2 linked regions of the Macaca fascicularis genome follow. The protein of the gene in region 1 purifies or fractionates together with the protein of each later gene. This does not show direct contact. Links are inferred from orthologs where the notes say so. Each region holds a gene or a part of one and is shown on either strand. Other genes may lie near its edges.

Region 1 (3,562 bases):
AAAGCATGCTACATAGTACTATGGGGATGCAGTCAGCAAAGTCCAGGCTGTAGAAAAGTCTATGAGGCAAATGACACAGTTTCTTTGACAAATAAATGACAGAAAAAACAAAGGGGGAACCTGTGTATTAAAACAGTGGTGGCCAGGCGCGGTGGCTCACGCCTGTAATCCCAGCACTTTGGGAGGCCGAGGCGGGCGGATCACAAGGTCAGGAGATCGAGACCACGGTGAAACCCCGTCTCTACTAAAAATACAAAAAAAAATTAGCCGGGCGCGGTTGTGGGCGCCTGTAGTCCCAGCTACTCGGGAGGCTGAGGCAGGAGAATGGCGTGAACCTGGGAGGCGGAGCTTGCAGTGAGCCGAGATCACGCCACTGCACTCCAGCCTGGGCGACAGAGCGAGACTCCGTCTCAAAAAAAAAAAAAATAAAAAAAAATAAAATAAAATAAAACAGTGGTCCTCAGAGTGCTGGCATGAATCAAAAGTCACTGGGAGGGCTTGTCAAAACACAGATTGCTGGCTTCATCCCATAGTTTCTCATTCATTAGCCCTGGGTCAGGGCCCATGAATTTGCATTTCTAAAACGTTGCTAGGTGCTCTTCCTCCTGATGATCCAGAAACCGCAGAACCATGTTATTAAAGAAGTCTTGGATTATGAATCAAATACAATGTATGGATCTTGTTTGGATTCTGTTTTGAACAAGCCAATTGTAAAAATAATAATAATTCCCTTGATAATAGGGAAGTGTAGGCATGGGATGGACTTTTGATAATTTTAAGGAATTGGTAAATTTTGATAGTGTAATCATGGTATTGTAATTATATTTTTCTTTTTTAAAGAAGGCCCCATCTTTTTAGAAATATATGTTGAAATTATGGGTAAAATGCTATATTGTTCACTTGAACATAATTGGCGCTGAAAAGTAGTTGAGGATAGAGGTAAAAAAAGATTGGCCAGATTTTGACAATTGGGAAGAACGCGAGTGATGAGTATACAAGGATTCATTATCTGTATTAATTTTTCTACTTTTCTGTGTTTATGGAAATTACCTTCAAAATGTAAAATATATGTTTGGAAACACAAAAATATATTCCTAAATAGCTCATAACTTAAATGTAAGTCACCATAGAAATTACACGTTTTTGGAATAGAACAGTCATGAATTATACTATTTCAAAACATGTGGGATGCAGGTAAAGCAGGACTTAAGGGTAAATTAATTGACTTAAGTCTTCCAAAAAAAGATTGAAATGAATTAAGTTCAACTTAAAAGTTAGAAAATGAAATACAGAAAAGCTGGAGGGAAAAAAATAAGAGCAGAAAAAAGGGAACTAAGTGAATAATGCAGTCATCTTAACTAGCTGAGAAGATTGGATTGAACCAAGGCATTATTCTGAGAGAGACTGGTCTGTAATTTTCCTCTCTGTAATATCCTTGGTTCTGTCTCAGTACTATGCTAGCCTGATAGAAGAATTGGGCAGTCCTGAGCCAGGTATGGTGCTTGCCTGCAGTCTCAGCTACTTGAGAGACAGACAGTAGGATTGTTTGAAGCCAGGTGTTTGAGACCAGCCCGGGCAACATAGTAAGACAGAAAAGGAAAAAAAAAAAAAAGTGTGGTAATCTAAAGAGAAATTAATAGTAGGACTTCTCTATTGTCTTAAATAGTTTCTGGCTCAGTATTTTTTCAGCACGCACTTCGTACCAGATGCTGTGCTAGGTATTGAGGACACATAGATGACTAGGATATGGCCCATACTCTGGCACTCAGTCTGAGGGAGCATATAAATTTGTAAACAAAAAATTAGAATCAGGCAGGAAACGTCAGTAGACAATATGGAAACGTTCCCAGGCAATTCCTTGAGAGAAGAAAATTTTTAATGTATAGGATGGACTCAGCTTTGTGAGGTTTTTCCTCAAGTAGTCTCCAAGAAGAAATGGCATTTACCAAGCAGGCAGTCTGTTATAATGGGACACATTAAAAATCACGAGGAGTTTGCTGTGTGACTGGGAGACCATTAAGTTATAAGAGCTGTCAGTGTATGTTATTTAGGATTTTTGTAGCAAGGTTTATATGAGAGATTGGCCTGTAATTTTCCTTTCTTTTAATATCCTTGTATGGTATCAAGGTTATGCTGGCCTTATAAGTGTTGGAAAATATTCCATCCTTGTTATGCTCTGGAAGAGATTGTGTAAGATTGGTGTTATTTCTTCCTTGAATGACTACAAAGCCATTGGGACCTGGGGTTTTCTTTAGTCAATGTGTACTAAACATTTAGTAGAAAGAGTGACCCAAAATTTCAACTTAAGTCGAATATGTATCTGAAAAGGTTTATTATTTTTACTAACATTTTCACATAAAACTTCCCTCTGCCCACTGGGGTTAATCCACAGTTTGATCAGTGTTGTATCAGTGACAGAAATTCACCAGTATGAAAACCCAGTCCATTTCTGACCACCAAATAGTGTATTACAGCTTCAAAAAAAAAATTTTTTTTTTTGCTATCTAGGCTTTGTGCTGTGTGTGCCATGGTGTCAAATGAGACAAATCTGTGTCATCCAAATACTTGTGAACTCAACTTGATATGAGCAAGCATCATATCATTTTAATCTACTTGCTTTATTGGGATGTGTATGTGGATATATTAAGGGCTGATTATTTTCATGGGCTTTGCTGCTTGGAATGCTTTGTCTTAGTTTTTGTGGATGAATTTTTAATTACATTTTTATATTTCATAAGAAGTAATGAATTTACATCATTCACACTTCAGAAGTTATAAATAAGGTTCTCCAGCTTTGTCCTTTAGTCAGCTAGTTTCTCATCTCTGGAACCAAAAGATGTTAGTTGCTTCTTAGCTATTCATCAATTTTTATATTCTCTGAATATGCAATATATATTCACTCCCACTCCCTCCCCTCTTTTTTTAACACTTTACCTTGCTTTTAATTTAGTAAGTCCTTAGAAACTATTCCTTATCATCATTGCCTGTTAAAACTACCTCTTGTTTCTTTTCTCTTATGACTTCCTTGTATCTTGTGACAACAGTAATAATAAATTAATGTAGTCATTGTAATATTGATGGATTTTTAGGTTATTTCCAGTCTTCTTGCCCAGAAAAGCTACATTGAATATCCCAAATTGCTTTTGAATAATTAAATTATCATTTTCTCTTCCTTCGCTAGTTTTTTAGGACAGATTTTTTTTTTCTTTTCATTTCAGCCATGAACCAGAGAATCAGTCAGAGTGCTCCAGTGAAACAACCACCACCCCTGGCTCCCCAGAGCCCACAGGGAGGCGTCATGGGTGGCAGCAGCTCCAACCAGCAGCAACAGATGCGACTGCAGCAGCTCCAGATGGAGAAGGAGAGACTGCGGCTGAAACAACAAGAACTGCTTCGGCAGGTGAGGCCACAGGTTAGAAACCAGCCTTCCACTTTTTGGGGTTTGTTTTCTTAAAGTTGGGCAGATTGCATTTTAACATTTATTAGTTACAGAGGAATGTTGTCTTTGTAAAACTGAGCGACACAGAAGCATTCTATCCAGCCCTGTCCTTGTCTTAGTTTC
Region 2 (4,015 bases), on another chromosome or scaffold:
TCCAAATACTTCAAGCTTTCACTCCACCCAAACGCTGGAACGATAAAGTTTAAAGGGTTAAAGTTAGATGTATGACACAGCACATTAGTTTAAAAATTGAGAAAAAGAATGTTGACATTTTTTATATTTAATATATAATTCTTCAAGAATTTGAAGGCATTTGCTGAAACCAAAATGGCAGCCCAGCGAATTAGAAGACCAGCGAGATCTAAAGGAGAGTTTGTAGTCTCTATTTTTAAGTTCAAGTGTACTAACCAGCCAAGCTAGTCATGGTGAAGGAGTTACCTAAGGGTAATTAGCTCCGAGAGGGTTAAGTACCTGCTGGAAAGTTTCCTAATCAATGCACCCCAAATTATTCCCCTCAAAAGTGAAAGTATACATACGTTAGGTAGATTCAGGGACTCATGGGTTTCCAGGTAAAAGAGCGGCACACACACTTCTCTCGCCGAAAAATAAAGTATGAATAATCTATACCTACAACTTGCTTAAACTAAAAGACAATCTGAAACAATTATATACACCTGTAAACTGCACCGTGTAAATTCAATTAACGTTATAACTATGGAACTTCCAAAAAATAACATGCTTAATTTAAGCAGGTTCTACTAGAAATTTTGCAAATTCTCGTGTAAGTTGTAGTCGCTACAGAAATCCACACAAATAATTGAAGAAGCCATCTATACACCTGCTCTATAACTCTTTAACTTATTTCACAATGAATGAAAAATCAGCCATTTATCCAACCCTAAGCCTCACGTCACAAGAATCTGAAGATCTGATCACTAATAAACTCGCACATGCTAATATTTGCAGAAACAGTTAAAAATAGAAAGATAATAGGTCCAAGCTAGCTTGGAAGCGATTTCTGCACTCAAAAACCCCTTTCACGGCTTTGGCCCTCTGCAAATTAAGCGGGGTTAAGGAAGTGTAGGAGGCCGATAACCCAGCTCCGACTCCAGGAGCCCAGGGCCGGGGAGAAACTGCGGGTTATCGCGGGAGGGTGGGGGGAGGCGGACAAGTCGTCAGGCCTGATAGCCAGGCGTAGCCGAGGCCTAGCTCCCCGACTCCAAATCACTCCACCTCAGTAATGGCGTTTGGTGTCAAGTGGAACCAGACCGGGCAGGAAAGCGGCCGCCGGGCCGGGGGCGGCCAGCCCCCAAACCGACCCGGGCCCCGGGTGCGGACGGCGGGGGGGCTGCCCGCCACGCCCGGAGACTCCATCCTCCTACTCGGCCCCAGACAGGACGGGAAGGGGGAGGAGGGGGAGGGACGGAGCCGTCAGCCATTTTCCCTTACAGTCCAAAACACACAAGACACGCTCTCGGGACACCGGCTCCACACACAACACGGCCCCGCGCGCCCGCCCAGCCCGGGCCGGAGGAGGGGGAACGGGGAAGCCCCGGCCCGGCCGGCAGCCGCCGAGGGAAGAAGCTCACACACACGCACACCCCCCTCGCCCTCCTCCCCTCACCCACATCCAGCTGTTGGCCCCGGGAAGGCGCGTCGCCCCGGTGCAGCTGGCCACTCACCGCACGACACAGACGTCTTCTCAGAACCAGGGCACGTGGAGGCGGGAGGCAGCAGGCGACGCTGGGGCTCGGTCTCGGGACAAGACCTACCCTGGGTGCATCCCAGGCCCGTGGGTGACCGGCAACAAAGTGTATTGAAAGGCTGCGGCGGCCGGGCTCGGGGCTGAGGGCGTCTCAACCAAAAGGCTGCACGCCCGGCGCCGGAACTCGCTTCTCGCCGCGCCCGCCTCCTCCTCCTCCTTGGCCGGCTACGGCCCTCTTCCCCCTTCTCCCCTCAGGCTGGGGCTCTCGCTGAGCTCAGACGGGCTCCGGGCGGTGCGTTTCTCCTGCGTCACCTCCTCCTGCTCCTCCTCCTGCAGCGACGGCTTCACCTTCCCCTAGTCGCCGCCTCTGTCCCCGTTCCGGGCCTGGTGGCTTTGCAGCAGCTCTCTCCTAGCTCCCGGCGCCGACCCAAGCACCGGGCGCTAAGGCGGCCGCCTCCCGCGAGAGAGAGGCGGCGGCGGAGGGCTCCCGCGAGGCCCGGGAGCTATGCAAGGCGGGGAGGGGCTCGGCGCGGCAGAGGCCCTGACGGGGCCGGGTGCGGAGAGGTTGCGGCTCCGGCGGCGGCGGAGACTAGCGTCCGCAGCCGCGGATGCCCGTCCTCGTCAATATGGCGGATCCGGCAAACCAAAAAAAAAAAAAAAACCGCTCGGCCAGTGGCGGCGGCGGTAGCGGCGACGGCGGCGGCAGCAGCGGTGGCGGCGGCGGCGCAGACTCCCACTAGCCCCAGAGCCGCCCAAGACCCGAAGTTCTCCGCCCCCGTCAGACCCCGCCCCTCTCAGGCCCCTCCTTTCGGGCCTCCCCCTGCTCCTGCCCAGCCCCCTCCCGCTCAGCTGCCCCCTCTTCTCCCGCCTCCACCCCGGACCGTCAAGGCTGGGAGAGCAGCGCGAGCCGCCGAGGGGGCCGGGCTTGGGCGCGAGCCGCTGGGAACCCGGAGAGCTAGGGTGGGGGAGGGGAAGACAATGCGGTAAAGATTGTTCGCGCAGTACCGTTTCTTCCGGCTGGCCCCTTCAGGGTCGTGCTACCGCCAGAAATCCTGTTCCATGCCCCTCGGCTCAGGAGCGGGACGAGGGCAGAGGTGGCTCTAGGACCGAAGTTGGGGAAGGGAGGCCCGAAAAGATCTGGCACACCACGCCGGAGGGGCTGGGCGGCAGGGACTGGCGGGGTGTGCGGTCACGACGGGGTTAATCGCGTGAGCCGCAGCCGCGTCGCTCATAGTTTGACTCTGGCCGCTTGTTTTTGTTCCATTGTGAACCGTGGCCCCACCGACAAGAACCCGGATGATGACGTCACCGGCCTCCCCCTTTTCCGGGATCGTGGGGGGAGGGGCGCGGAAAGATGAGATCCCGAGACCACGCGCTGGGCTGTCGCCGCCGCGGTGCCTGGAGGTCCCGGCGGCGCAGCTGACCCGCGTCACGTGACGCACGAGCTGGCCGGGCCACTGGGCTGCGGGGGCGCGAGGTCCCGAGGGCCTGGCCACCTGCTTGGCGCCGATAGGGGGAAGGTGTGGCTATCTCCTGCAGCGGAAGGAGGGGGCGTGGGGAGTGAGGTCCTTTTCCCCACCCCGCGAGGGAGGTGCTCTGGGAAACACTTTCACACGATCGCGCAGCATCAGTACTTGAAAGCGTTTAGGCGTCCTCACAGCGTAACTGACGGGACTGACAACCTTGTTGGCTATAGGAGCCCTTCAAACAGACCAGGAAAGAAAAAAATTATAAAGTACCCCAGACGGCTTAGCGAATAGGCCGTACTTGATATGGCAAGATTAGCCTCCATTGCCAGATCATCAGCACGATTCGGTGTTAGAACCCGGAAGAAACTTATGAACCCATCCGCTGTGTCATGGACTATTTTCTACATGTTTATATTCCAAAGTGCAGGCGTAGGAAAAACTTAGGCTAATCTCAAATTAATGGGGTGCTTGGAACAATTCTATACAGTCTGCCTAGGATGCCCAAATGAAGAGGAAATTAACAGTTCCTAATTTACAGATTTCCTTTTGACTTAAAACTACCTGTGGACATCAAATGGCATGCAAAATCATAGTAAAACCTTACAAAACGAGATTTTATAGAGAACAGGGTTGAATTTAGTTATGCTATGATTATATCAGTTTGTAATAAAAGACTGTTAAAAATGGAACCAAACTAATTTAGGTGACAGTGAAAGCAAGTTATTGGTATCTTAAATTTTTAAACCATTTCTCTATTTAGCACTAGATTGTTTACAAATTTTTCACCACAAAATTACCTAATAGGGTATCCAAGATACATCATTCATAGCCCTAATAACTCTTAGCATATGTTACCTTGTTTTTGTAATTATTTCCATGAATCATTTGCTTACCCACTAGCTCATGGGCTTCTAAAAAGTAGACACGACCACCCGTGTACACTGTAGGCTGTTATCTTCGATTTTAGATAAGGAAACAGAAAGGGTAAATGATT

What was found. The genes of interacting proteins can lie anywhere in the genome.
Region 2: the proteins of YAP1 (region 1) and USP9X purify together in Homo sapiens (affinity purification with western blotting; 3 studies listed by BioGRID, with this or other methods). This does not show direct contact. The link is inferred for Macaca fascicularis from reciprocal best matches to the Homo sapiens genes YAP1 and USP9X.

What each region holds. Positions count from the first base shown.
Region 1 is NC_088388.1:101,212,070-101,215,631, forward strand, and holds part of YAP1 (transcriptional coactivator YAP1), read left to right. Parts: intron 1-3,218; coding exon 3,219-3,412; intron 3,413-3,562. UniProt on the Homo sapiens protein: Transcriptional regulator with dual roles as a coactivator and corepressor. Critical downstream regulatory target in the Hippo signaling pathway, crucial for organ size control and tumor suppression by restricting proliferation and promoting apoptosis.
Region 2 is NC_088395.1:41,067,310-41,071,324, reverse strand, and holds the start of USP9X (ubiquitin carboxyl-terminal hydrolase 9X), read right to left. Parts: upstream 2,839-4,015; 5' UTR 2,558-2,838; intron 2,291-2,557; exon of another isoform or gene 1,530-2,290; intron 1-1,529.